Rhinolophus ferrumequinum: one gene and its partner. The protein of the gene in region 1 binds, or shares a complex with, the protein of each later gene. Links are inferred from orthologs where the notes say so. Each region holds a gene or a part of one and is shown on either strand. Other genes may lie near its edges.

Region 1 (14,930 bases):
GAATAAGTCATGATAATATTAACATCACAGTAATAATCATAATTTAAATTCTTCGATAATAATGAGAAAGTCAATAGTCATAAAGTTATTTATTCAACAACTAAATATTGCACATTTACCATATGTGTACAAGCTCTGCTCTCGGGCTGGGGATACAATAGAAAAGTAAACTAACAAAAATCCCTCTTCTCAAAGAGCATATATTTTAGATTTTAAAAAGCAAACATCTATGGGAATAGGAAGTAAATCCTCTGAAATAACACATTTTGTGTCATTTATGCTTTTATCTTGCAACGGAAGGTACAATCTCTCCTCCAACCGACTTGGTTGATTGTTTGCTATTCTGTATAACTCTTTACGAAAGCACTTCTGTGCCAGGCTCAAAGCTAGAAAAGCATTTCACTTTACCTCTAATTCCAATTTGCTATTTCCAAATTCCCATAATGACACAATTGTACTAAACCGATCGATCATGTGTATTTCTATAATCAATTATTCTATTTCCGTAAAAGGCAGGATCCAAGACAGCGGATATTACTTTATTCATTCAACAAATATTAAGTGCCCTGTATGTACTAAGCACTGTTCTAGGTACTAAGGATGGAGCAATGGATAAACAGACAAAACCCTGCTCTCATGGAATTTCTATTCCAGAGGTGTAAACAACGAGCAAGATAAATGAGTAAAATAATAGAGAATGGTGATATGTAAAAGAGCTGTAGAGAAAAGACTTTTTAAAAAAGAATGGGAATAACAAATTTTGTATTAAGGGCATTGAAATGTTAGGTAGAGTAGACAAAGAAGGTTTCACTGGAAGATGATATATAAGAACTAAGGGGGTGAGTGAGGCGAAGAGATTCCTGAGGGGAAAGTATTCCACACAGAGGAAAGAGCAAGTGCAAATGCCCTGAGGTAGAATTATAAGTGACAGTTCAAGCAACATCAAGGACGTGAATGTGGCCAAAGAGCAATTCCTGAAGCAGGGTAGAGGGAAAAGAGGTCAGAGGGCTAACAAGGTCATAGGGTGGACACATTATGTGGGGCATGGTAAGTCAGAGAACCGGGGATGTCATTCTGCGTGCAATGGGACCGGTCTCATAATGTTTTGAGAAGAGGAGTGGCATGGTAAATTTGTTTATTTCTTTGGTTATCTGTGCTGAGACTAAGCTGCAGGGGCCAAGAGACTAGTCAGGAGATACAGAAGTAATCCAGGCAAGAGCTGAGAAAAGTACGAGAGTTGGAAATTGTAAAACTCTGGTTATGTTTTTCTGATAAGTTGATTGTGAAAATTTTCAAACATAAGAAAAATTGAAAAAACTATTCAATATTCTGACATGCACCCACCACCTTGATGCCACTTACTTACTCTGTCATATGTTCACCCTTTTAACCTTCCTCCATCCATCCATCAATCCATCTTAGTATTTGATGCATTTCAAAGTAAATTGCAGACCTTCACACATTTCTGCCTAAGTAATTCAGCATGCATGTCAACTACAGTTCAACATATTTTACAGCCTTTTACTTTATATGAAATTTGCATAGAATAGACAACCTTTTTAAAGATATAGAACATTCTTATCATGCCCCCAAAACTACTCTCATGCCCCATTATTCTGATATTTTTCCATCATTATTTTTTCCTAATTTTGAAATCCATATTGATGAAACCATATAGTAGTAACACTTGTGTAAGTTTTCTTAGCATGTTTGTAAAGTTCATCTATGTTATATGTACCAGCAGTTCATTTATTTTAATGCCTGGCCTATCTCAATAATTACAGAGAAATCTAATTTATTTTCCAAACAAATTTGGTTACACAAACTAGCTTGTACAACTAGGTCATCATGTTTAAAAAATTACCCTGTGCTTAAAAATATATAGTTGAATTGTGGAGCAGCTGTCATTTGTGAAATAAGTAGCCCAGGGTTTGTAACATGATGGACTTATATCCCTTCAATATCTTGTGCAGTAAGGATTATCACAAAAATATATTAAAATCATGCTTATGTATTCTCCATCTGTGACCTAGTGATAATTATTTTCATAAATTTATCAGTCATTTGTTTCCAAAGTTCTTGAAAGAATAGAATCTGGATTACAGTAGGGCCTGGTATATGTATTGGTTTGCAAACATGGGGTTCCCCAAGTGAAATCTGAGCCTGACCCCCATACTCAGAGGGTAAGGAAAGACCAAAGAAAGAGGCAGACTGCTCTAGATTGGTAGGTGGCAGGTTTAATAAGCAAGGGAACATATTCAGGAGGCTTGTCTTAAGTGGGCACCAGATGAGTAGATCTTAACACCTGCCCACCCGAATCTTGAAAGTTTACATAGGCCTTAATGAGCTTCAGTCACCTATTCAGTCCAGATGGTCTCAGCAGCACCTTACTCTCTCAAGGCCATGTCCTTGAAAAAGATTCCTACTGTGTGATCAGTGGGCAGAATGTACATTCCAAGGACAGAGGGAGGGTGAGAAGCCTCTGAAGCCCGGGCCCAGCTTGTAGTTCAACCAGCAGTCATGTCCTCTCCCCGAAGCGTGTGTGAAAGGCCTGGACTCATACCGCTCTCCACTAACTCTACACAGTGAAGTACAATAAACTGTTTGACACACTTTGGCTGCAAATGATAGCAAATTATGTTTGAAAGAAATCAACATTTTTATTTAGAAGATGACTTCAACATTAAGAGACATTAAGTGTGTGTAAAAGCACACATGCTTTTCTAATTTTCCAGCAAACACTGTCGTGGGTGTACTATCACTAGGTTTCAGTGGACTAGTTGAGTCATGAGCAGAGACCAAATGCCCTGATTTCAGATTTCATGATGGCAACTCCAGGGCTCTGTAAAGAAGCAACTTTAGGCTAAACTATAGGGTGGCTTTAAAGTGCAACATAAGGAAACTGCATATTTTAAATTTTCTGATAACTCCAAATGGACTTGTTTTTCCTAAGTGTAAAGTCTTTGTTTCAGATGACGGCTGAGTATGTATGCCACCACACCTCATAATGACTATAAATCATATAGTCAGAAGAGTTTACCCTAAAGAAAAAAGGTTTAATATTTTGTTTTGATCTAGACATAAAGTAGCTGGTCATTGTTGATGAAAGTGTTTTTTTCTAGTGTCCATTTGCTCTCGTTGTCTGTGCTTTCATTAAAGACCACAACTTAAGATAACACTAGAGATTGTCTGATTTTGTCGTTCACAGCATTAATAGACTGAAAGAGAAATAGATGTTTATCTCAATAGATGTAGAAAAAGTATTTTTTAAAAAACAAGTCATTCAACATTAAAAAGAAATAGAAATAACCTTATACAAAAAAAATTATTAATTGAAAAACCTATATAGCAAACATCATATATAGTGTTAATCATTGGAAAGTATCCATTTGAGATCCAAAACTACCTCTGTATCCACTGTCTCCAAGGTGGCCAGCAGAGAAAGGCAAGGAAAAGAAATAAAATGTATAATTTGTAAAGGGAAAGAAAAACTATGATTTTCCGGAGATAAAATAATTATATATACAGAAAATCTAAAAACAAAAACCCTACATTACATTTTTAGAATTTGCAGGACTAAAGTTCTAACAAGGTTTCTGGACTTAGAAGCAACTAATAAGAGAATGAAACTTACTAACTCCTGTTAGAATATCATCTACAGAGAAAGTTGTCTTAGATTAGCTCGCTGGAAGCAAGAGCTGAGACAACCAATCAGTGGCATATGATTTGTTCAAGGGGTGCTTTCTGGAGAAATGAAGGGAGGGTAGCAGGAGATTGCTGAAGGAGCAGAGGAAGGATGCGGGAGTCTAGCTCAGCTGGGTCCTATTGGGATCTCTTGAGATGAATTACACCAGAGCTGATCCACCTTTAGATGGGAAGGCCAGCTTGGCTTGTCCATTTATCATTGATTTCAGACTGCCCCTTCCCCTGGGTGGGATGGGGTTATATCTTCCCAGGCGAGGCATCTCCCATTCTGAAAAGGGCTGTTTTCTGAAGAAGGAGACAGTGATGAGCTGTTAGCACTCATCCTAACAGCAGCTGGGGAATGGATGCCCTGGTCTGGTAAAGAGTCTCTTGCTGTGTGTGGCATCAACAGAACCCAACACTGTCACCCCTTGTTCTCAGTGCTCCTCACATCTACTTGCTTCACACATTGTTTAGTCTACCCAGGCAGAGTTTCTCCAGGATTCCGGTTGGTCCCAATTTCTGGGCAATTTATAAGAGGAGAATTAGCAAAATGAACAACAGTCCCCACCGCTGCTACTGGCCCCAAGTTGATAAGTGATGGTCATCAGCTCTCTCCTGTCTCACCAATTCTTGGTCCCTCAGCCAGCACTTTTGAGGGGCTTGCCTTGCAGAGTTCCCATCCCCTCAACCCTGAGAGAGCTCAGTCCTTGGTTAGCATAAATTTATTAATATGTTTTGTATGATAAATGAGATCTTCAAGGTTATTTTCAGAACTCAAATGTTTACTCCTATCTGGTAGAATCTGTTATTAAATAGTCAAAACATGTATCGTTTGATTACTGACTCATTCTCTTGAAACACGACCTTTGTTTCAGAAATCCACTAGTTCCTTTGGCGATCAGCTCAGCTGCTGCTCAGTACCGTGAAACCTCTGTTTTACTCCCTGCATGAGTGTTTAATTGGTATTATTATTTATTCCTGATTTCACAGTCTTCCTGTTTTTCTTCTAAAACCTAACTTCTCTGAAAATATAATCTAAAGTAGACAAAACTGTGAGCTAAGAATTTTCTGTTAAATTAACCTGTAAAGTATGCATAATGGCAGGACCACACTTCTACACGATGTGATTTTCCAAGTCCAGCTTGTCCTCTGGAACGCCTCCTATATCGTTCGACTTTATTTTACTATCTTGCATTTCATGTCCCAGTATATTTCTGCCCATTTTAAGAGTCGTAGTTCTGTCTGAGGTATGTACCATCTTTTTTTTCTTTTATTTGCTATTGAAGGTCTCCTATCTATGGCTGATCTAAATGCAAACAGGAACGACTTGAAACGTAAAATGGCAGTATGACAACCTTGCAAACACCTCAAATCTGACTCAGCAGATGATCTTTTACCACCTAGTTGCACTCACACGTTCTTAGTGCTTCAGATAACAGTTACAATATAAATGCAGGGTCTACTGGGATTTCAGAACTGCTCCAGGGTCCATATGATGATGGAGATGCATGGGACTTGCTCCAGGGTCCATATGATGATGGAGAAGAGGGAAGAGAGAGAGCAAGTCCACTCAGTCTACTAGCAAAGGAATGCTTGTGAATAGGTACCAACTACTGCAATTGTGTTACTCAATGGGATGCCTCTTTTTTTAAGAGAGATTTTCCAGTTGTATGTCCTACTGCAGAAGTACTTAAACAGAATCACTATGGAAATATTTAAGATCACCCAGGTGATCCTTATTATCAGGGAAGTTTGGTGAACAGTGCCTTAAGGGAAAGGTAAGATGTGAGGTGTCTTACAAAATCTTGTACTAGTTAACTGGGGAATGATGTTTTGTGGTTGCCTGCACAGCTGATTCAGGAGAATACTACAACCCCAGAGGCACACAGTATTATGCTTCCTGCCGGGATGTGTCGGAAACAAACTGTGTTACACCTCCCCAGAGTCCCCCATCACCAAAATGCATCTATTCTGCAGAGACTGAATTCTGTACATGTTAATCCATACTGGGCAATTAGTAAGCACTGGATGCCTCCTGGTTAGGCTGCTGATATTTTTAAGTAGGTCTTCTAGACCTTTATTTTCCCTGCTCAAAGTGTGTCAATCATATTTATATTTGGTGGCAAGAGGACCATATACGAGCCCTGAAATCATGCAAAATTAGCAAATGTGTACACGTTAAAATCAATCTTAACAAGGATCTTTAAAAAAAGAGAGCGAAATGGAGCATCTTGAGTAGTTACTTCAGTGTAATCAACCCATAAATCTGATCTAACAGAGTCCTTCTGGACACTAATCAGTTCCTATATTCCCATAGAGCACAAGGCGTTCTTCCCCCCTGCTCTCCCGCCCCTACCCCGCCGATGGATTTTAAATTTTCTCTTTTAGTATTGTTATGGTTTTCTCAGCTACTAACTATAGTGTCAAATGAGATGCTAATTTTAGATGGAAATAAACAGTAGGGAGAAATATATCATTTTCATCAAATTCTTACTATCTTGCATTTCACAGTTACTTTCATTCCAAAGCACCTGCCTGGACTATAAACACAATTTTTTTCTAATTGATGGTTTACTGTCTTGCTTGTAAATTGGCCTGGCTTCATATTCTGATTGTAAGATTTCTAATATTTGATTGACTGTTTCTCTCTGTTCAACTGTGCCCCTTCCTCGATCTCATACTGTTAAATACAGCTTTAATTGTATGAGCTCACCCTTTCACATGCCTTCTGGAGCTGGGCATTGAAGTGAGTTGGGCAGGGGCAAATGGGAAAAACATACCTGTGTAAGGGAGACACAGGACACCTCTAGCTACTTTTTGCCATGAGGTAATTCAAACCTGACTTGGCCAGATCTTCTTATAATTCATAATAAACTAAAAATCTCGTGGTTTACAAACGTTAATTGATCTTAATTTGTCAAAAATATTTTGCAAGCCAATCAAAACACACTTCTGAATTATATTGAACCCACAGAGTAGCAATTTGCTGTCATTGGGTTACAGCAATGAGTGTAGCTACAGAGCCCTTTGTACCTGAAAAAGATGCTGTCCATCCTCTCTACTTTTACTGATAAGAAAATATAAGGATGATGAGCAGGTAGAAGAAGTGATGTGATATTTAGGACATAAGTATTAATATGTGCCTTCTAGGATGATTGTCTATGCCCGTAAACAAAGAGTTCCTACAGATTCCAGGATAAGTGTACTGAGCTTCTCCACTGCTGTTTCATTGAAACCCACAGATTTCCCACAATTTTCTCCATCATTCATTGTTTGGCTCCTAAACATGAATTATATTTATATAGGAGAAGTTCAACCATAAACACGGAGGAACTCCCTGAAATGCCTGATTGGTGAGGAGTGGTGCTAAGATTAGTAAAATTACTGCCATTATCAATTCTTTAAAAAATTTGTAAATATCTTGGTCTTTCATTATTTCATGAATATTGTTTTCTAATTGATAATTCTAACTTGATGTATTCCAAAGAATGATACACAGCTATATATTTTAAGATACAAACTGAAATCAACTAGCAGTTAGATCAAACAATTAAGAGCAGTAACTTAAAATAATGAAACAAATCTGTGCATATTTTTACTAAACGAACTGTTTATAAATATACCATTGTTTAAATTATTTTCCCTTTTGTGTTATTAGAATATTTCCATATGATTTCATCATTTGTTAGCTTTTTATATATTTAGTCTTTCTGAAATCTTTGGAAATTTGAAAAAAATATTAGTTACATGTATTTCACAAAACGCTGATTATTTTTTAAATTATAAAAAAGTGCTGATATGAGACAATAAAATAGCTTTAATATTGGCCCAAAGAGAATGGGTTGTCAATAGCATTTTTTTAGATAGTGACTTCATTGAATATACGTAACCAGAAAATACATCTTTAAAAATTTGTGCGTATGAACTTACTTCCATTCCTTGGGCAATAACATTTTGTGATATGGAACTGTTCTTCCTTTAGGAGTTCTGATTTCTCCTTTAGAGGAAGCTTCATTCAGTTTTTCTCTCTCCCTCTCTATTTATGTGCCTGCGTGTGTATGATGTCTAAATCACTGTCAAGGCTCCCTGGGTGGGTTTAATATCTGACTACAAGGCAAAATGCCAGCCCGAGTAAACTTTCCAGGGAGTGCAACTGAGAGGATGAATGTCCCCTGGGCCTGAACACGGTGCTCAAGATTCCAGGATCTCCCTAAAACTGTCCTGCTAGGAGTCCAGGAAACCTCAGAGGCAGCTTCCTGTTCTGGTATACCTACAGTGCACGGAGGAAACTATCAGTTTTTGAATGGACATCCAGCCTCATCCACATAACAAAACATTTTAGTTTTAAGGAAAAATGTTAATGTGTTTAGAAGACTACCATAAGTGTCACTGAAGCACTCATTATGTAACAAGGTGAACTAGTCCGCATCCTCAGATACTGTCCAGTAAGACAAGACCACACACTCGCACACACATACACACGCCTTGCTCACTCCTGTGAGGTGGCCTTACGTGTGCCCATCTCTAGTGCACACGGCCGTGCTCGGTGAGCACGACAGAGACCACGAGAGGAGCTGGCAGAGGAGAACCCAGCTGTTGCTGTGAGACTGCCGGTGGCAGCCAGAGAGAAGGAACCTGCCAGCACGGACCCTGCTGCTCCCCACCAGCTGCAGCGCAGGCTCCTCTGCAATTTCCTCCCTTCAGCCCAAGGCAGACCCTGCGGCAAAGCCAACTCTGATTTGAAAAAAAAAAAAAAAAAAAAAAAGAGGCAAAAAGAAAAAAGCCCTAGTCCCTACCCATCTCGCTCTGAGGCCCCGCCGCCTGGGTGGCAGCAGCGCGCGCCAGCACGCGGAGCGCTGAGCCGCCGCACCGGCTGGGTGGCGCGCGCCAACGGAGCTGCGGGAGGTGAGGGGCCGCGTCCCCGCGTGGTGGGCACCGCGCCCTGCCCGCTGTCGCCGCCGCCGCAGCTGCACCCGCGGCACCATGACCGCTCTGAGCACTAGGGTTACAGGTTGGTCACCGCCGCCCGAGGCCCGGGTGCGCGCCAGTCCCTCTCGCCGGGGCTGGGCCCAGGAGGGCGGGGGCGGGGGTCGAGGGCCCGACACCAGGGCAGAAGGGGCGCCCCCACCTTAGGCGAGAAGGGGGCGCTGGCGACCGAGATGCGCCTCCCTGGTCTTTCAGCGGGATGCGCCTTCCCGGGCCTGGGAAGCGCACGGGTGGGCGCTGGAAGCCGGGGGCCGCCAGACCTAGGCCTGCCCCACCAGGCATTAAGGGTCAGGTGGCTGGGGATGTGGTAGGTGCATGGGCCTCTCCGCCCCTGTGGGCGATCGCGCGGTTTGGGGAAGCTGATCTGCTCCAGCAGGTTTCAGAAAGGGCCGGGGGCCCTTACCCACCCCACCTCCGTGCTTCTGCGAATGGCTCTGGGCTTCACATTCCTCCTTTTATTAATTGGCCTGGCTGAGCCTAATGATTGTTTAAATCATTAGGGTGGCTACACACAACATGCAAAAACACCATTCTGCCAAAGCAACACCGTTTTGTCATTGAGCCCTTAAGAAACGTGTAGATTTCCAGGCTGGAAACTCAAAGTGGGCCCAGAAACCTGAGCAATGGGTTACCCTTCTGACTCGAATTTTCCACTTTCAGGGTGGTTGATGACTCTGAACTCAAATCCTGATATATTCTTGACATACCATAGGATAACTCTTCCAATTTCAGGCATAGTTTTTCAGGGATATATTAAGGATGTGTATTCATACACACACTGGCCCAGGCCTGTGAAGGTCGCAGTCTTTATCTTGCCTTTGTGTGGTCATCAGTAGGCCTCGATTGCCCTGGTGGTGAAGTGGGAGGTGGGTACCAGTGACTGTTGTGAATAAGAAGGATAAGATTGAAGGAGAAGACCTTTAATAGGGATCAGAAATTAATAGGTAGCTATTTTTTAAGTTTATGATTTATATTTTTATAGCTACAACTGTGGTTTGATTTGAAAGGAAGTAGAAAGGGAAAGGATGGACTATGATGGTTATCCCTGAGGCAGACATACAGCTGGAGTGATTTTTTATATTTCAAAGATTGTTTCAATAGTTCTAAATAAAAATGATGGCTTCTCAAACCTCCACAACAACAAAATTCATTTCCTAACTGGTTGGTTCTCATTCTGTGGACCTTTCTATGTTGAATTTTTCATTCTTCTATAGTGTATTTTGAGCTAGCTATTGCTAAACCCAAGCAGACTGAAGGAAAAATCAGATTTGGGGAAAATTTTTTAAATGGATAGGCTCATTGGACCCTCTTATGTGTTTTTAGCATACTTGACATTTTGGCAGAATAGATACTCTGTCATTGATAAGGACTATACTAGAAGCTCTATAGAAGCTGAAGATACTCTGTCTTGTGAGCTGGTCGTAATGTAGTTATAACTTTGGATATGATTTGCAAGATATTCAACAGAGGAAAATGTTCTACTTTTAAAAGAAAAAAACCTACTCAAAATAGTATTAGTCGCTGCAGTTTAGAGAACTAAAGGTTTGAATAGCATTTTCTTCTTATTTGGGAATGACATGTTTTTGAATTGTGTTCTATTTGCTTCTTTTTTCTTTCCTGCATACATTATAAGTGTGTGTAGGTGCACGCACACCTGGGCACACATGTACGTACTTATTTTATCATTTATCAATGATGCTGAAATAATTTCAGAATCTTCATGGCTATATAAATTTATTACAGGGGGGAAAAGTCACATGTGGATTTAGATTTTGTGAAGGAAAAAAATCACATCTTTCCACAGTATTATATCTTAATTGTAAGCCAGGCACCAGGCCTACGGATTCAGTGAAGAAAGAGATAAATAAACCCAGACCCTAAGAATCTGTCAGAAAAGACAAATCTGTAATCAAGTGGATAGAGTGAGCATCCTATGTTCTAGTTTTGGTTTGGAAATTATGACCTTGAGTTTAAAGAAATTTTGAATTGCCCTTCAAAATTGGTAACAACATTTTAGAGTTTGATTATCATGTTATATGATTCTTACCTGTCTCAAGGACTTGTGCAAGAAGTTTTTACACCTTCAAAACTCTTTGTGTGCAAACATTTAAAATCTTTAAATTTATGCTTTGAATTTTAAAATAATCAGACATGATGGAAATGACACAAATGGTAGAGAAAAGAGAATAAACACCTATACTCCTAACAACCTAACACAAATGATTGTAATATCTGTATTTACTGCAGCCTTTTTAAGACTACATACTTTGTGTAGTCATAGTCATGTATTGTACATTTTTTATACTGTTTTTCCGTTTAACATTTATCATAAGTACTTTTTCGTGTTTCTATATACAGTTTACTTGCTTAAAAATTGTATATGGCTATCTGTATGTATAAGATTAGCCTCATTTATATAGCCATACCTCTGTCATTGGATATTTGCTGTTTCCAGTTTTCCATTATTATAAATAATGTCCCGATAGAGTACAGGGATTTATTCCTAGTGGATGTTATTTCTCTTCATGATAAATTTCAAAATAATAATGATATTCCTGGACAAATAGATTATTTAAATTATTATGGATATTTTATGTATAAATTATGCATATATATAACGTATATTATGCATATATACATATATTCAAGTTCATTTCCTAAAGATTATAATTACAAATAAGATGCATTATATGCTTTCTGAGGTAAATCTGCTTTCTATTTAGTATTTGTGGATAACCTTCCCTCTTTTACAGGAATAAGATAAGATAATAGCTTGGACCTAAGACCTTTGCATTATATAAAGACTTGACCTTAAACAGATTAGGTTAACTTAATTAGATTACCTTAATCTGAAATCCAGATGATAAAATATACCCCTTAGAGTAAAACCTAAACAGGAGTGGCATAAAAGTAGTAAGCTGTAAAAAAGAGAGTAAGCATGTAACGTCTTTTAGGAAAAAGGAATGTTGAGCTCCAGAGTGTAATTATGCTTTTTTGCTTTCTTATTCAGACTTAAAATAAATGATCAAAGGAGTTTATGTAGTGAGAAACCTGTACCCCACAGGTATAAAGTGAAAAAGACTGTTCACTATATACTCCAAGGCATTTCTCATAGATTCAGTACAGATGGAACTAGATTAATAGAACTATTGGGCGAGTCTGAGGTTTAAGTCACGAGTCCCTTTCTAAGAGAGTTGTACAAAAAACCAAGGAACAGAACTCCTGTAGACCCACTTAATTTGAAGTGTTGAAGGCTAAAGTTGGATCATTCTCTAAGAAAGACAGAATTACATGACTTTTGAAGCAATTTCTCTGTGATACCCTAGGGCAAGTGCAACCATACCAAATGGAATACACTCAGATGACAGGGACTAAGTCAATGTGTCCAGAGGTGGGGCAGGAGTCGGGATTCTGGAGAGGAATCCCAGGAGAATTAGAAGAGAAAGGTCAGAACATTGTAGCCAAAGGAATCACTTATATGGAGATCAAGAGTTAGACTTATCTCCAATTATGCAAAGAAACAAGATGAAAAGAGGAGTTTGTTTGGGGCAAGGATACATGACGTTTATGGAAGACAGCCAACAGAGACACACAAGTAAATGGAATACAAGATCAGAGCAAATAGAATACAAGCCATGTTCTAAGTCAAATACAATATTTTCTTTTAGATTTAAAAAACAAAAAATATGCAGATGAAAATTATTTATAATGGACCAGGAAAATTTTAATGAAAAGCAGCCAACATCTAGTTATAGCATGGTGAACACTTGGAATTTGAAAAAAAATTTTAAAGGAGAATATCCCATTGATATTCTGGTCAAGTTAAAAAAAATGTATATCACCGATCTCCAAAGGAAAAATTTATACTGACTGGATGCACCCTCTCCAAAATGAAACCTAAGCAAAGAGTAAAATAATATTCTGAAAATGTACAATTCTGAAAAATACTAGAAGACAATTCTCTTATGATACTAATATGAATCAAAAAGGGAATATGAAAAAGGTGAAGAAATAGTAGGGCTTTTTTGGTTGGCACATATTAGGCAAGTGCTACTAAAAAAAAAAAGTAAGGTAGAAATATGTAAACATCAAACGATTCAAAAAGTAATTAAATGAGAAAAAACATTAAAGTAATAAAAGTTACCATCTTTAATGAAATTATAATTACAAATCTCATATATATTAATTGTCATAGCATTATAATACGTATAACTGAAAGTATTACTATGTTCATTTATTTTGGGAGACATGACCCGTAGATGCAATGTTCCCTCAAAAGGTTCTGTGACCTATGGTGGGATTGAAAAATCAGCATTTTGGTTTGAGAAGTAAAGAAAAAAAAAAAAAGAACTGGAGAGGAAAAGAAAGAGGATAATGTTTAAAAACATGAATGGATTCATTATGAAATGGGAAAGCTTTAGATCTGATAGAAAAAAACTAAGAGCCTCAGCATTCTAATCCTTAAGTCATATTAATCTATAGCTATCTATAGGATGTATCAGTATGCCCAGAAATAAAGATGAGCTCAAGAAGAAGGAGAAAAATAAGAATGGGGGTCAGTGAAGGAAGGTATTGGAGAAATTGGAGATGAAATTCTAAGGATGAGTAACTGAATCAGACTACAGTAATGAAAAAGCAGAGGCAATGGTAGAGATTTATCGATAGAACAAATGCTAGTATCTTGGTGACCAAACCAAAAGAATGAAAAGGAGGGATGGGTGAAAAATAAATCCAGAACTTCAAGTTTGGCTGATTGTAGGTGTTTTTATTCTTAGTTTGTTATGCCTAGATTAAACAATTGATTACTTCTTTATCATTGAGTTAGCTGTAAAGCTTTGGCTTTATTATTTTTAAAAATCTGTTCTCCTTTATTATTTTTATGGAACCATAGATCAGCTTCATTTATTACTTCTGGAGTAGAGGGAGGATTTTTTAAAAATTACTTCTTATTGCTGAAAAGTACAAATTATGGAAGCCTGTATCAGACAAAATACAAATTTGTATCAGACAAGATACAAGTCAGTGAAGGCTGAAAATACTATTGCATATATGTAACAAAATTTGCCTGAGGTTAAAAAAAAAATCCTAGATAATGTAAAATTGGGATGGGAATCTTTCAAGCATGGAAACTTGCTTAACGATTAACCCAAGAAGTAAAGCACAGAAATTAGGATAAATATTGTAAATAAGGGATTTAAATTTTCAGAAATAGAGCTTGCTGGATTTGGAGATACCTCTCCTTAAATTATTCTTTCCATTCCCCTCAATTCAATATATGTCAATACTTTATGGAGAAAAGATATTAAACTCTGGTGAGCTTCAAAAAGACTTTCTACTTTTTATTAAATAAAAATTTAAAGTATTTTAAAAACTGACTTAGTTGAAGTAGGCAATTTGTTTTCCCTTCCTCCTTTCAAGAAATAAATAGCTATTTTAGAGGTATATTCTACACTAGAAAATTATAGTAGAAAAGTCAAGGAAAAACCACATTTCTTAGTAAACTTCTCATAAGACAAACATTTATTCTTGTACATAAAATATATTCCATATAGTATTTTTTGAGAAAATTCTGAAATTCTCTGAGAAAAATTTAAAAATAGAATATACTGTATGTACATAGAGTTATAAATCAAAAATTTTGTCTCAGATTTCCGTTTTGCCTGTATTGTTTATAGCTGGTCTCTCTAATTTTTTTTTTTTTTTTTAATTTCACCAAACAACTAGTCTTGACTACAAATAGTAAACGCTACGGTGTTAAAATGCTCTACTGAACATCTAGACCAGGGATTTCATCATTAGTTGAGACCACCGCTGGAAGTGTGTAAGAATCACTTGGGGAGTGTACCTTAAAGTACTATTTCCCATAACCACCTCAGAAGGTTCTGATTTAGTATATCTGAGGTGAAAGACACCCAGCATTGAGAATGTTTAAAAACCTCGCTGGATGATTTATGTATTAAGCAATCTCAGGAAGCTGCTATTTTAAATCCTTCTCCTTCTTTGTGCAAAATCTGTGGATTCATATTACAAAATTAAACAACCACACACCAAAAAGGTAACTCCTTTCAATTTTCCATACTATTTTACGTATAGAAAAGTTTGGAAAACCACTATTTTAAACCATCCACCTTTTTAGTCCAACCTTTGTAGATTCATTACAACATTAAGCATCCGCAAAAAAAAAAAAAAATAGATAATTTCCTTGTCTGATTTTCATAATAAAAAGCCTGTTATTGAACTATTGGATAATAAAAAGC
Region 2 (15,989 bases), about 5.3 Mb from region 1:
TCAAGCCAAGATCAATCAAACTTCAAATTATAATACAAAGTGACAGTAATCAAAGCACCATGGTACTAGCAGAAAACACACACACAGAGCAATAGAATAGAATTGAGAGCCCAGAAATAAACCCACATATATATGGGCAGATAATTTTCAATAAAGGAGCCAACAACATACAATGGAGAAAAGAAAGCCACTTCAATAAGTGGTCCTGGGAAAACTGCAAAGCTACATGCAAAAGAATGAAACTAGACTGCTACCTGTCAGCATATGACAAAATTAACTCACAATGGATCAAAGACCTAAACATAAGACTTGAAACAATAAATTGAATAGGAGGAAGCATAGGAACTGAACTTATGGACCTTGGATTCAAAGAGGATTTTATGAATTTGACCTCGAAGGCAAAGGAAATACCGTGTTTCCCCGAAAATAAGAGCAAGCCGGACAATCATCTCTAATGCGCCTTTTGGAGCAAAAATTAATGTAAGACCCGCTCTTATTTTATTATAATATAAGACCGGGCCTTATATAGTATCACATCATATCATATCATATCATATCATATCATATCATATCATATCATATCATATCATATCATACTGGGTTTTATAATAAGTTTTGCTCCAAAAGACGCATTACAGCTGATTGTCCAGCTCGGTCTTATTTTATGGGAAACACGGTATTATAAAAGCAAAAATAAATGAATGGGACTATATTGAACTAAAAAGCTTCTGCAAAGCAAAAGAAACCATCAACAAAACAAAGAGGCAGCCAACCAAACGGGAGAAGATATGTGCAAACAGTGCTTCCCATAAGGGGCTAATAACCAATATATATAAAGAACTCATACAACTCAACAACAACAACAAAACAATCCAATTAAAAAATGGGCAGAGGCCCTGAACAGACACTTCTTCCAAGAAGATATACAAACAGCCAACAGATATATGAAAAAACCTAAACTTCACTAGCTATTAGGGAAATACAAATCAAACCCACAATAAGATAGTGCCTCACTCTTGTTAGAATATCTGTCATCAATAAGACAAGTAATAACAAGTGTTGAAGAGTCTGTCGAGGAAAAGGAACCTTCATATGTACACTGCTGCTGGAAATGTAAATTGGTACAGCCACTATGGAAAAGATTGTGGAGGTTCCTCAAAAAATTAAGAATAGAGTTGCCACATGACTCAGCCATCCCTCTTCCAGGTATCTACCCCCAAAATTTGAAAACATTTATTTGTAAAGATATATGTACCTCTATGTTCCTTACAAAATTATTCATGGTGGCCAAGACATGGAAACAATCAAAGTGTCCTTTGATAGATGATTGGATAAAGAAGATGTACATACAGAGGGGGGCCAAAAAATGTATACACATTTTTAAGAAAGGAAAACTGTATTGCAATTGTAATACTCAATATATACTAATAACAAAAGATGAATACAAGTCACATTTGACTTCTGCAATTATAAGAGGTGCTCAAAGTGGTTACCATCAGCATCCAGACACTTCTGATTACGGCGAACTACTGCTTGAGTAACATTGACCAAAGTGTCCACTTGTATACATTTTTGACACCCGCTGTATGTACAATGGAATACTACTCTGCCATAAGAAGAGATGAAATACTGCCATTTTTGACAACATGGGTGGATCTTGAGATTATCATGCTAAGCGAATTAAGTCAGAGAGAAAAAGTTGAGAACCATACGATTTCACTCATATGTGGGATATAAAACTTAAAGCAACACATGAGCAAGGCAAACAAACAAAGAAACAACAACTCATAGACACAGACAATAGTTTAGTAATTACCGGAAGGTAAAGAGGAGGGGAGGTGGCAGAAGAGTTAAAAGGGGGTCACATATTTGGCGATGGAAGAACTGACTCTAGGTGGTGAACACAGTGCAATATATAAATGATGTATTATAGAAATGTACACTTGAAATCTATGTAATTTTACTAACCAATGTCACCCCAATAAATATAATAAATAATAAAAAAGATCAATCAAAATTACAGAAAGACTCTGGTATATTTACCATTGTAGGTAATTAACCGGAGCCCTCAGTTACCTGATAGTTCTAGAATCTGTTTTTATCTTTAAAGAGATGTTTATATTAGCAAACTGTAGGAGACTTAAAAGCTAAAGGTTTAATCTTATGTTCTTCGTAGGTAAACATAGACAACTCTTTATTAGCTCTTTATGCTTAATTTATTTTAAAATATATTAATATGCTGGTCAATAATTTGCATATTATCTGTGAATCCTGAAAACACAAAATTCCTTTTCTAGATCAATATGTACATTAGAATGTAATCTAGTTTCACTTATGAGGTGTAATAAAAAAATACAGTGAATGTTTAAATAAAAACCAATTTATTACAGGAAAAGACACATTGCCATTAATCCCCCAAAAAACACATCTCCTCGTTTCCATCACACTTATCCCATCATTCTTACTGCTTTCTGAAGCAGTTCTGGAAGTCCTCTTTTGTGTCTATAGTTTCGCTGTGATACCTGCCTCGATGTCTTGAACAGATTCAAAACGTTTACTTTTCTTGGTCATTTTGACTTTGGGGAAGAGCCAGATGTAGCATGGTATCAGATTCGGTGAATAAGGTGGATGAGGACACACCGTAATGTTTTTATTTAACAGAAATTGCTATACCTGAAGCAATGTGTGACACAGAGCCTTTCCGTTGTCATCAAGAAGTTTGGTGAATGCTGCTGCCTAGTGCCATCCAACAGAAAGGCAGGGATCTTCAATACTGGAAGCCATGTCCAACCTTAGTAACAATGTGTGACAAGTCTCAACTTGTTCAGTGTAGACAGTTGAGTGTGAACTACGGTTGAGAGAAAGTGTGTTTTAAAGTGTGCTGTAAATCATGAGGACACTGTAATATTTTTATTTGACAGAAATTGCCATACCAGAAGTGATGTGTGACACGGAGCTTTGTCATGATGGAGGATGATTTACGGCACACTTTAAAACACACCTTCTCCCAACTGTAGCTCACACCCGATTGACTGCACCGAACAAGTTGAAACTTATCACACACTGTTACTAAGGGTCAACTCACCACCTCCCATATTGAAGATCCCTGCCTTTCCGTTGGATGGCACTTGGCAGCAGCATTCACCATATTTTGTGATCACAACAGAAAGGCTTCATATCACATATTGCTTCTGGTATGGCAATTTCTGTCAAGTGAAAACATTACGGTGTGTCCTCATCCACTTTATTCACCAAATCTAACATCTTGCTATTTCTGGCTCTTCCCCAAAGTCAAAATGACCATAAAAGGTAAACGTTTTGAATTGATTCAAGACATTAAGGCAGCTGTGACAGTGAAAGTGAAACCATAGATACTCAGGAAAGAGGACTTCCAGAACTGCTTTGGAAAGCAGCAAGAATAATGGGATAAGTATGTTTGAAGCAGGCGGACTTTTTTTTGAGGGGGATTAATAGCAACGTGTGCTTTACTTTAATAAATTGTTTTTTATTTAAACACTCACTGTATTTTTTTGATCACGCCTCACACAATAACAATGAGGATGTGCCTATTTTTGTGTATCCAGAAGACATTTAAGGTATAAAAAGAAAGTATATCAGGATTGTTATATATTTGGTTTAGGGAGTAGACATATTCAAGTGGTGGTTTTGCTAGAAGAAAAAATATATTTCTTCTTGATTTGACTTTTCTGCGGTAAAATTATTTGGGACATGTTAACTCTAGTAGATTTAAGGGTAAATTTTTGAGAAAGCAAGCATATTATATTGATTTTCAAATATAAAAGCAGAGTAAGCAAAGTATCTACCTTTCAATGCATAACAAATCTAGCTATTTAAATAGGAAAAAAATACAGATTCCCATGAAAGTAAGTATAATCAAATAACTTAAAAACTTTGGATTCTTTGAAGGACATAAGCATAAATGACAACCTGAACAGTAATACAGTAAGTACATTCCAATACCATATCCCTCAATATAATATTTGCAATTGTGTTAGTCAGCAGCTTTGTGAAATGTGCCTATGTTATTAAACTACTCTATGCTATTAGTCACACTCTTAGGTAAAACCTACGTAGGAGTTTCTAGACTCCACAGCCTGCCTTTTCTGATAAATGAAACCTAAACTTCATCCAAACTATTTGCTCTTCTTTTCCACTGTGCTACATTTGAGCTGATAAGCTAACAAGAATCAACATTTACTAATCTGGTCAACACCTTCTTCGAACATATTTCTCATTTTGATTTTAGTGAAGAGTGATATTAATGAAAACGAACTTTTAAACCACTATCTAAACCTCCTCAATGAATTCCAACCACCTTCAGCAGAACCGATTTCCTTCACTCAGTTTACAATATTGTTTGTGATGGAGCCCCAGCTGTTGTCTCTAGTTTCTTCCTTGCAGATTCCCCATGTGTTCCCCACACACCAGCACAGCCCACTTACCCATAGATCCTCCAGGACCCTGAGCCCCTTCAAGCGCCAGAGTCCTTGAAAACTGGAGGTCTTCTTCAAGAATCCTTCCTAATGTTGCTCAGTTCCCTTCATACCTTCCTGTCTTGGTCCTTCTCAAAATCAGGTAAGAGTTCACCTCTCCTCTTCTGGAGTCTTCTAAATTGCCAATTCGCCAGCATTTTCCACTGTCTTGTGGTTGCTGGCCTACTTGTTTTCTCTTTCCCTTAGCTAAGCTTCAAGAGGCCAGACATGGTCTTTTATTTCAGATTCTCCATAGTTCGTTCTAGAACCAACATAGAACAAGCAGAGGTGACATTGGATGTTGACAGTTTACTTCCAGAGGGTCTGTACACATAAAGCTGTCGTATTTTAAAACATTCCAACTCATGGGAACTATTAGAAGAAGGCAAGGTCCAGATTACTTAAAAACAAAGAATTAAGTATGGTCTATTGTAGAAAATATTATTATCCTAATTATTTTTTAAAAATCAGATAAAACACTATTTTAATGCAGTATATCAGACTTTTACTAAACATTGAAATATTTTGTGAGACAATTATAATTTGACTAGATATGAGTAATAATAAGGTAAAAATAACAGAGTCCAGCTTTGCTTCTTTGCCTTGTTTGAGAGTAATGGACCTTTAATTTATATATTGTTCCTTTCTTTTATTTCCCCAGTCCTAGTTCTCTTTCTGATTTAATCACATACTTAGAGAAAGAGAGATGCTGATGTTCTGAGATACCATTAGAATTTGTGTGTCTCTGATTAAAATTAATAATGCAATACTGAAGAGAAAATTGCATTATTATCTAATAAATGTGGTTATGTATGCTATCATACTTTCTACTTCGACTGTTAAAAAAAATTTGGTTTAGTAAATGTCATAAAACAGAGGGATTTATAATATAAAATAAATGTTAGATACTACAAAATGGAAATAATGACTGTATCTGGGTGTTGGTATTACTTACGACTGACTTTTAAAATTGCTTATTTGTTTTTTGTAATTTTCTAAAATGTTCATGCAGTACTTGTATTATATATATATATATATATGGACATACACACGTTTAGCTTATGATATATTGTCGAGGGTCCACATATAAAGTACAAACAGACAGTTGCCTGAATAATAAACAATTCGGTTAATAAATAATATTTTCACCTGAATTATGGAGAAAAATTCAGATAGTCAGATTTAAATGAAAATTGTCAGTTGTTCCCTTAACTTTGTATTTGGCAGAGAGGTTAAGAGAGTTTGGATATATTTTTTTTTTAATTTATTGGGGTGACAATTGTTAGTAAAATTACATAGATTTCAGGTGTACAATTCTGTATCACATCATCAATCTATCACATTGTGTTTTCACCACCCAGAGTCAGTTCTCCTTCCATCACCATATATTTGATCCCCCTTACCCTCATCTCCCACCCCCCACCCCCCTTACCCTCTGGTAACCACTAAACTATTGTCTGTGTCTATGAGGTTTTTTTTTTTTTTCTTAGACGTTTATCATTTGTATCCCTCACACTGTGGACCCCCCTCCCCCCATCCACTATCTCTCTGACATCACACCACCGAGCCATCCCATTTCCACTGTCTCCACTCCCAATGCTGTATTCTGCCTTTTATAAATGTGTATATATATATATACATACATATATATATATATATGTATGTATATATATATATAAAATATTATAGTTGGCATTCATTATTATTCAGCTTCAGGTGTACAGTACAGTGATCAGGCATCTACATCTTCCCTGAGATGGTCTCCCAAATGGGACACGTGTCTATAGGGAGTTTGGATATTTTGTAGACTTTTAAAAATATTCTATAACAAGAGAGGTATGATGAGGTGGTGATTCTAGGTGAAAAGAGTTCTTTGATTATAAATTCGCTGAATTAAAGAAAAAATTATAGCTTTATTTCTGATGCCTGAACTTCTCCTATGCAGATATGAATTAAGTAACTACTACTTTGAGGTATTTTTAGAGCAGTGGTTCTCAGTGCGAGTGAGTTTGTTTCCAGGTGACATTTGGCAATGCTTGGTAACATTTTTAATTGTCAAAACTGGGGACAGGGGGTTTGCTACTGGTACTTGTGAGTAGAGGCTAGGGAGGCTGCGAGCCTCATACAAAGCATAGGACAGACCCCCACAACAAAGAATTATCTGACCCCAAATGTCAGTAGAGGAAATGCTGCGAAACACTGTCCAGAGTAATTGTTAATAGTTTGATCTCAGTAGCTCCGTTGGTCCTTAGCTTTAAACCATCCCTTAGGAGTTACCGTATTTTCCCATAAATAAGACCTAGTCAGACCATCAGCTCTAATGTGTCTTTTGGAGCAAAAATTAATATAAGTATTATTATATTATATTATGTTATATTATACCCTGTCTTATATTAAAATAAGACTGGGTCTTATATTAATTTTTGCTCCAAAAGATGCATTAGAGCTGATGGTCTGGCTAGGTCTTATTTTTGGGGAGACATGGTATAAATGAGTCTATCTGTCAATAGCCAGAGCACTTAACAGTGCAACTCTAGGCTAGTGGACATGAACTTTGAAGATGAAACTGAACATGGAGTGGTGGGGTTGTGGAAGGGAGTTAGTCAAAAACTATAGTATAGTTGACTTGGGGGAAGAAAGAATTTATATTTTAGGAACAAATATGATAATTCATTTCAGTGGGACTTATGCCACTTTTTGTCTTGAAAGAGGACTTAAGGTCTTCTTTAGATCCAGCCACGGTGTAATTAATCACTATGAAAAGGAGCGGGTTTGACTTGAGCTGTGAGTCCAAGCTGCCAGGGTTGGAGGCACATGGTGTGCAAAGGCAGCCGGGTTATGTGGTGGTCAGGTGGTGCACAGTGGGAGGTGGTCACCGATTTAGGTATTTTAGCCAGTTTGCACACCTGTCTCCCTTTAGGGTAGGAGAATGGCTGTGGTGGATTCTCCCTTTTCATGTTAAAAAGCCAGTCACCCTCAGATCATCTCTGTGTTCTGAAACTAGGTCTGGCCTGCCTGTGAGCTTTCTGTGTGTGTCCCAGCTCAGGGGCACCCTGTGGGCTTCCCTAGTCAAGGGTTTTCTGACCGTTCTGTCTTACACAGACAAGCGACATCAAGAGAAATATAAACCTGTCCTGGCAGCATCTTCAAATGAGGAAGAAACAGGGTAAAAAAAAAAAAAAAGGAGTAGATAAGAGAAAGAAGTATGAAATAAATCCTGTAACCCAGGTATTAAATAACTAAATCTAGATAGAGATAAAGATAGATAGAAAAATAGATAACAGATATAAGAACTATTCCTTTTAAAATTCTTTTACAAAAAAAATCCCCACTCTGAGTTTATAATAAGAACGGCTATATTTGATCACAAAGGTCCAACAGGTTCAAAACAAAAGGGAGAAAGAATCATTTCAGGATTGAGAATATTATATGCTCATTTTCATGTTCTGCAAAATCTTTTATCAAGAAACATAAATGCAGACTTCTGCTATCTTTCACATGTATTTATTTATACAACAGAAAATGCCAGACCTTATACTCACTTCCGTCTACAAGCCCACTTTATGTTGTATTTAAAAATACCCACTTTTCTGTTATCCCAACACCCACAGCGCCTCTCCAAAATGAATACGGACGATCCATCCCTTTGGTTTCTCAAGATATTTATTAGAACGTTGGCACCCAGTACTGACAATGTGACGTGCATGTGCACCCCGCAGAGTATGAGGGTCATTAGAAAGCAGGGAAGGACGATGACACAGTGATTGCCAGGTGGAATAAACCACTTTCCTAGGCGACCGCCAGAGAGAGCTCCGGATAAGGCTTCGCTAGGGTTGCGCGCACAGAGTGGCGCCTGGCACTCGCGCTGTCTCCTGTTCCCGCAGCTCGAGTGGGAGTGAGGGGTGGAGTGAGCAGGGTCTTTAGATAAAGCCAGACTGATGTTTACCCACAGCATCAACCAGCACGAGCAGGGATCGTGGGGACCCCAGGTTTTCCCAGCGCGCCCGTCGCTTTCTCGGAACTCCGAGAATCAACGCTAAGGGGCACCAGAGGCTTGGACTGCAGCGCCTGACACCCGGGCAGCCCGTTGACCTGCTGCGGAAGTCCTGGGGAGAGCAAAGCCTCACTCGGTGGGCGCTGGGGCGCAGGCCTGCGGAGCTAGGGTTAAGGGGACTTGGAATGCTCCAGATGCAAGGAGGAATCCTAGGTCAACACGTTGAAGTCGGAGCAGAGGCTAGGCTTTGACCGCTGGTATCCGACGTCTTACTGATTTTTTTCTTGACTATATGAGGACACTTATTTTTACTTTCGAATATGAAATACGTCGCAGTAATATATACAGCGACATATATAGATGTAGACACACCATCCCTTCTATATATGGCACGAAACTCATTTGACAAAATAATGCACTGGTAGTTGTTGATCGCTAGTTTTCTAGCGATCCCAAGGCACATGGAGATCCCAAGGCAGATGTCACCTCCTCTATCCTCTAGCCAATTCGTGTTTACTCTCCTATTCCCCAACCTTGCATTTGAAGTCGATCATTACTTAGTTAAGAGGGCAATATCCGGACCCTCTCCCTATTAGCAACCCTGAACTGCCCGCCTGCAACTCGGGCTTATCCAAAGGCAGAGAGAGAGTGGAAGATGCTGAAGAAATGATCTAGCACCCTCAGTCATGCATTCGCGTTCTGACTTTTGTCAGTACTAATAGAATAAGACTAAAGGTGGGGATAGGGGACAGAAAGGAAGGAAGAAGCGCCGGAGCCCAGAAGCCCAGGCGGGGCCCGCGGGCACAGCCGCCCCCCGCCCCCCCCTCCCCGGCCCCGGTGCGTCCTCGCCCTCCTCCTCCGCGCTGGCCGAGCCCGGTGCCAATGCGCCAGGATGGAGAGATCTCGGCGCGGGAGGAGATGACGCAAAAGCCAGCGCTCCCCCCAAAAAAGTGTTTCTCCAGGACGAAGATGGCGGCAACTTAGCCGGGGACTGAAGATGACTGTGGCTCTCGGGAGGCCCAGCTCAGGCGATTCGGCCCCAAGGTCCGGGGGAGGCGGTGTCAGCAGTCAAAGCCCGGCGGCGGCGGTGGCGCCCGCGGGCAGACCTGCGGCAGCGGCGGCGGCGGCGGCAGCAGCAGCAGCAGCGGCAGTTAGAGCGCGGGGTGGGGGGTGGGGGGGAGGGAGAGCCCTGCTGGCGGCGGCCGCCCAGGCTCCGGACTCGGGGAGAGACAGCAAGAAGTAGGAGCAGGAGGAGGAGAGAAAGAAGAAAAGGAAGGAGGAGGAGAGGAGCTGGGGAGGCTCTCTGGTCGCTGTCAGTGGGCAGCGGAGACGCGGAATGCCCCTGGCAGGGGGGAGCGGGCTGTCCTCAGCAGGGCCATGGGGACCCGCGCTCTGACAATGCCTGGGTGAGAGGAGCAGCGCCAGCCACCCTGCCACCTCCATCATCACCTCCTGCACTCAGCTCACCACCGGCCACCAGCCCAGCCTCCTCCGACTCACTCTCTCTCTCTCTCTGTCTCTCTCTCTCTCTCTCTCTCTCTCTGCATTATTGTTTCCTACTCTACAGAGGATGTGGTCGGCTGATGATTAGGTCGGAAGCAAGTCAGATCTTCCTCTAAAGCCTGGTAATATTTATGTAGGGAGAGAGAGAGAGAGAGAGAGAGAGAGAGAGAGAGAGAGAGAGAGAGAGAGAGAGAGAGAGAGAGAGAGAGAGAGAGAGAGAGAGAGAGAGAGGGAGAGAGAAGACAGAGAAGAGAAGAGAGGGAGAGAGAGGGAAAGAGAGAGAGATAGAAGAAACGGGAGGAGGGGATAAGGAAATTAAACCCTTTAAGTCAATGCATATTGCGGTGACACCGGCACAGGAGCCCTCACGGTGGAGTCGGCCAGGGCTGTGCGTTCCCAAAATATGACCAGGGGTGCTTGGATGTGTCGGCAGTATGACGACGGCTTAAAAATCTGGTTGGCAGCACCCCGGGAGAACGAGAAACCGTTCATCGATTCAGAGAGGGCTCAGAAATGGCGACTGTCTCTGGCATCTCTCTTGTTTTTCACAGTCCTGCTCTCTGATCACTTGTGGTTCTGCGCCGAGGCCAAGCTGACCCGGGCCCGGGACAAGGAGCAGCAGCAGCAGCAGCAGCGGCAGCAGCGGCAGCGGCAGCAGCAGCGGCAGCGGCAGCAGGAGCCCTCCTGGCCCGCGCTCCTGGCGAGCATGGGGGAGTCCTCGCCCGCCGCCCAGGCACACAGACTCCTCTCCGCCTCCTCGTCCCCCACCCTGCCCCCCTCCCCGGGAGACGGCGGTGGCGGCGGCGGCAAGGGCAACCGAGGCAGAAACAGCCGGAGCAAAGCTCTTTTTCTAGGAAACTCTGCCAAACCCGTGTGGCGCCTGGAGACTTGTTACCCCCAGGGCGCCTCCTCGGGCCAGTGCTTCACCGTGGAGAGCGCCGACGCTGTGTGCGCCAGGAACTGGAGTCGGGGGGTGGCGGCCCGGGAGGAGGAGCAGCAGGTGAGGGGGACGCATCCAACTCCGCTCTGGAACTTGTCGGATTTTTACCTTTCGTTTTGTAATTCCTACACACTTTGGGAGTTGTTCTCGGGGTTGTCAAGTCCCAACACTTTGAACTGTAGTCTGGATGTGGTGCTTAAGGAGGACGGCGAGAGGACCACTTGCAGGCAATGCATCGAGGCTTACCAAGACTACGATCACCACGCTCAGGAGAAATACGAAGAGTTCGAAAGTGTGCTCCATAAATATTTACAGTCGGAGGAGTACTCGGTGAAATCCTGTCCTGAGGACTGCAAGGTAGGAACGGTGGTTTCTGTTTTTTTGTTGTTTGTTTTTTTTCTCTCTGCCCGTCATGTGCTTTTCTATCTGTTTTGCTTGGTTGGAGTGTCTTCTAGAGTTTTTTTAAATTTTTTTTTTTGGCTCTGGTTTTCTTCAGTCGTCGTTTTTGGGTTTATAAGAGCTTGCCTTGCTGCTTGAGTTGGAAATACCTCGTGGATCGCTGGTGGACTGGTGGTACCTCCTTCTGGGAATCCTTAGAAGATCAGGGAAGACCCAGGTCTTCTGAGATAATCAAGCTAGTGTGTTAACTATCTCTTAAAGATATGTAATTGGTTTAATCTCTGTTACCTTTTATTAAAAAAAATGGAATTTAAATGTGGTTTGTTAGGAAGACAGTGATGGGACTGATGACTCCATCTAAAATCAGAAGTCAGAGACAGGCATGTATGTTTTGGCTGATGGACCTGCACACATGAACTCTCTGATAGTGAATCAGTAAGTTGGTTGGCAAGGAGGGACAAGAGAAAGTATTTGTAGTTGTTTATGTAGGAAGCACAAAAAATTTTTTACTTGTTTTACAGGGGTATTTCTGGTTATTTGGAAAACTGGAGGCCTACCTAAGGATAATTTATTCACCATAAGTTTTGTGTGTGTGTGTTTTCACTTAGACATTTGTATAATTATTGAGCTGAGACTCAATATGAGTAGGATTATTTAATTAAGTATCTGGTGATCAATGATCACTGTTAGGTTTTATCAGAGATCTTATATAATTAGTTTGAATCTTCAGAATGCTCTCCAGTACTAAATGGCAAATGCTTTATGCTATGAATGAAAAATACTGAACTCTTTCAAAATGTGTATCATATTCAATCTCTTCGTGTTTAATATAATAATGGATGTAACCCTTGCTGATTGACAAAGGAGAAGTGTATGCAAATTTCTTAAAAAATGACCAATGCAACCAACCAGGGGCGCATGTCCTAGTAGAAGCGTTACTGTCCGTGGTGCTGAAATAAGATTTGCCCAAGAGATCTATTGAAGATGAAGATACAGCAGTGACCTTTCAGTAGGGAGGAAATGATGACAGAATCTCAGTAAGTCTTAATGTTTTGTTCCAAGGGTAATTTCTTAAACACCACAATAAAATAGTATTGCTTTTAAAAAGAAATAATACACCACATTCCCTCTTTTCCTTTCACTTCACTACTTCCCCAATACCACGCAGGAACAAAACAACTGTCCCCATTTTGCCTCACTTGCTTTGTACTGGGGAAATATGGGCAATATGGACCAAAGGACCTTGTGATGTTTGACAAAATAACTGGGCTAAGGGATACCTATTTATAATAAACATGGTTCAAGGGCTGTTTTTACTTTGGATTGATTAGTTGTGCTTTTGACAGTTAAGCTAAACTCAAACTAAACTTGCTTTGTCAACATACTTCAAGACCAGAAACAGATCTTCTTTGAAAACAATAATATTGAGGTTACATTAATTTAGAATGTTACTTCACTGGATACATGGATCTGAAACTTTCCTATGTATTTTTCTTAGCTGTACCACTATACCTCATGCATGGGGATTAAACTTATTCTTAGTGGTAGAAGTTAATAATGAATGACTAGTGTGATTTTTACATATTTATTTTGACAAGTTGTGTTGCATTGGAAAAATGAGGACAAATAAGGAAACTTATGTACCTCCTAATTTTACTACTTATAAAAATGTTGCAAGGGTTTCAGTATACTATTTATATTTAAAAGTGGTACCTTGTAATAATTTGAATCTGCCTGCTTTTCTGAATGTAATTCTTATAGAAATATCTAGAAATTGCAATTTGCATAGGTTCAGTGTTTAAGAGATAATCTGTATGGTCAGTAGACTTTAGACTGATAGTAGACTATCTTTCAAACAAGCATGTCAAATATATCTTTGTTCAAATATCCAAATTTTAAATATAAGTAGATGTTTATTTTCTTCTTGACCCGAAGTAATTCTCAACTTTATATTTATGTCATCATAGGTGTAAGGTATAGTGTAGGTTAAACTAACTTGTATTGTTATGAAATACTTCTGGATTGTGTTTTTGTATAAAGTCGCAGTTGTTGACTGTATACACAAAAGCACATTATAAAAATCTTAACTCCTTTTTAGAAACATTTTTTCTTCACATTGCAAAGTAAGTACAGTCATTTGAATTTCTCAACCCACACACAGAATTTATGACCTGTGATATCTTGTAGCTATTTCTTGGTTTTGTTGTTTGTAACTTTCAAACATTTATTCAACAATAACTGTTTCCAAAAATAACATTTTCAAATTTAAGGTACAAGTGTTCTTGGTTGATAACTTACAAATTGATTGGTTAGTTCCTTAGTTTAATATATATTTTATAATTTTGCAAAAGTCACAAAAATATCCTCTACAAATTATGTTACATGGTTTAAAATGCTACTTGGAGTCTGAAAAATGTGTCTGAGATTCTTTCTGAACACTTTTACTTATTTCAAACATACTTATAATTATGAAATTATGATTATCATCAGAGACTTTGTTCAAGATATACATTTTATGCAAAATTTTCCATATTTTAAAGTAGTCACATAGGCCTAGGCTATTTTAAAATTAAATGCATTATATTTCTGGACTTGGTAATATATTCATGAAAACACCCAATTTAATAGTTTATAAATGTATTTATAAAATATAGATAGAATACATTTCGTCATATTAGTTATACAAATTATTGGAATTTATATTTTAGGAGAACTATATTAACTTTATCATACTCATATATAATTAAATAATTAATGCAGTGATTTATAACTTTTAAAAGTGAGGACATATACTCTTTTAGTTTTATACTCTCTCCCATTAAAAAAAGCCACATTCCATATATGTGTAAAATGAAATAGATTTAATTTAATTTTTATTTAACTTGTTTTAAAGAGCTTTTTGACCTCTTATGCAAAAACAAACAAACAAACGAACGAACAAAAACAATCTGATACAATCTTAATGCCTTGAGTCCATAGTCACTGGAGATCAAATACACCTTGGATTTACTTTAGTAAATTTTGTATTACAACACATAAAAGAAATCATTTGCACTCAAAAATATTTTTTTAATTTTCTGAAAAATAGCTGGCTTGATTTTTTAAAAATATAAACATTTATCCTGGGAAGTAATTTATGGAAAAATAAAGAAGATCTTTTGCACATACCTATGCTCATACGTAGTCAAGCTATTATATTACATAAATCAAGTAGCAAAAGTTATGACAGTAATTCTATGTAGGTTGCAGAGTTCTTCAAAATAATATTTTTGATATATGATACAAATCTGACTAATTTGTAATAATCTTCAAGTTGGCTGGTAATATTTAAATATGCAATATTCTTAGCTACAAAAGTACATATACATATTATTAACACGTTTTATTTTTTAAATTAAATATTTTCTCTTAAATATGTCTTTAGCTCCTTAGCATACTTGAAAATATAGATTATGAAATTGGGATATTTAGGGAATATAAATTTCTATGTTACAGGTAAACTTTTGTTACTGATAGCTTTACTTACTTACTGTACCTTAAGCCAGATGATTAGTTAAAGAAGATTTGAGATTAGATTCCAAGATAAATATCACATCATCTGTATCTTAGTTCTCACAGGATAAATTCTAATTTTTATACTCTTAAGAATATATGCATTCTCATATTTTTATTTTTGTTATCTCATATCAAAGCACATTCTTTTGATGATTTTTATTTAACAGACACTGACTGAAAAGATACTTGGCTAATGTTAGGCATATGTAACAATCGTGATACTTGAGGCTTTCTGTATTGTTTGCAGGAACCATTCACAAACATTAACCAGTTTGAGAACATGGAATTTGGGTTACATGATGTGCAATTTGAGCATTTCTTAGTTCTTAATTCACTTTGTTATCATGCACTCTAGATTCTTGAAAAATGTTTTAAAAATAAAATCAAATATCTAACAATTCTTTTCACTTAAATATTGAGTATAAAATATTATTCTGCTGTTGATTAAATGCTATCGTACATATTATGACACTGTGTAGAATACCAGAAGTGTAGAATGCATATGCAAACAGACCTGTTTTATATTCTACCATTTTATTATTTTCAATCATGTTTTTATAGTTGAGTTGCTTCTCTGCAAAATCAGTCTCACCATTCTGATAATCACTTTAGCCATTAATAAGGCCATTTATAAGGTTAAAACCAATATCATAATAATTTTTATGACCTAGATTTTTGTTTTTCATAGTTTTGTTCCATATACAACGACTAATTTTATGATCTGTATTTTATTTTTATAGGGAAACACTCAAAATTTTACCTTAATATTAGATGCCTGTTGTTTTATAGACTAAAGAATGAGTATTTTTACTTTGGATTTATAACTGGGTCAGATTAGTAGCTATATAGGGTACAACCACAAAGCTTTAATAATTGTTGTTATACATTGGTTTTATTTGCTTTAATTAGATGAGGTTGGCATCTGCATGTGCAAGATGAATTAAAATATGAAGGGAAAGAAATCAATAATGCTCTCAGTCTCATGCTCCCCCACATAGAAATCATAATCCATTAAGATAATTTTTTCATGCTAGATTGAATATATAAGAACAAGTATCCAGATAACTACTTCAAACAAAATACTCTTTTGGTTTGAGTTATCTGA

What was found.
Region 2: the proteins of NALCN (region 1) and NALF1 are in contact, whole or in part, in a cryo-EM structure (PDB 7CM3), measured with the Homo sapiens proteins. The link is inferred for Rhinolophus ferrumequinum from reciprocal best matches to the Homo sapiens genes NALCN and NALF1. Residues at the interface, in NP_001337678.1 of Homo sapiens: Cys207, Val209, Asn220, Leu222, Ala223, Ile224, Pro225, Thr227, Tyr237, Pro240, Phe243, Tyr406, Glu409, Phe909, Ala1044, Lys1045, Asn1047, Pro1049, Arg1054, Ile1060, Arg1062, Ile1063, Asn1064, Val1065, Ser1066, Lys1069, Lys1080, Lys1081, Gly1083, Phe1084; in NP_001073865.1 of Homo sapiens: Lys278, Glu281, Phe282, Val285, His287, Lys288, Tyr289, Leu290, Gln291, Glu294, Tyr295, Ser296, Val297, Lys298, Ser299, Tyr308, Trp311, Leu312, Gln315, Leu335, Gln338, Thr339, Cys341, Phe343, Ile344, Leu345, Pro346, Asp347, Asn348, Asp349.

What each region holds. Positions count from the first base shown.
Region 1 is NC_046287.1:46,437,905-46,452,834, reverse strand, and holds the start of NALCN (sodium leak channel NALCN), read left to right. Parts: upstream 1-8,165; 5' UTR 8,166-8,698; intron 8,699-14,930. UniProt on the Homo sapiens protein: Voltage-gated ion channel responsible for the resting Na(+) permeability that controls neuronal excitability. NALCN channel functions as a multi-protein complex, which consists at least of NALCN, NALF1, UNC79 and UNC80.
Region 2 is NC_046287.1:51,730,993-51,746,981, reverse strand, and holds the start of NALF1 (NALCN channel auxiliary factor 1), read left to right. Parts: upstream 1-10,015; 5' UTR 10,016-10,393; coding exon 10,394-11,287; intron 11,288-15,989. UniProt on the Homo sapiens protein: Auxillary component of the NALCN sodium channel complex, a channel that regulates the resting membrane potential and controls neuronal excitability.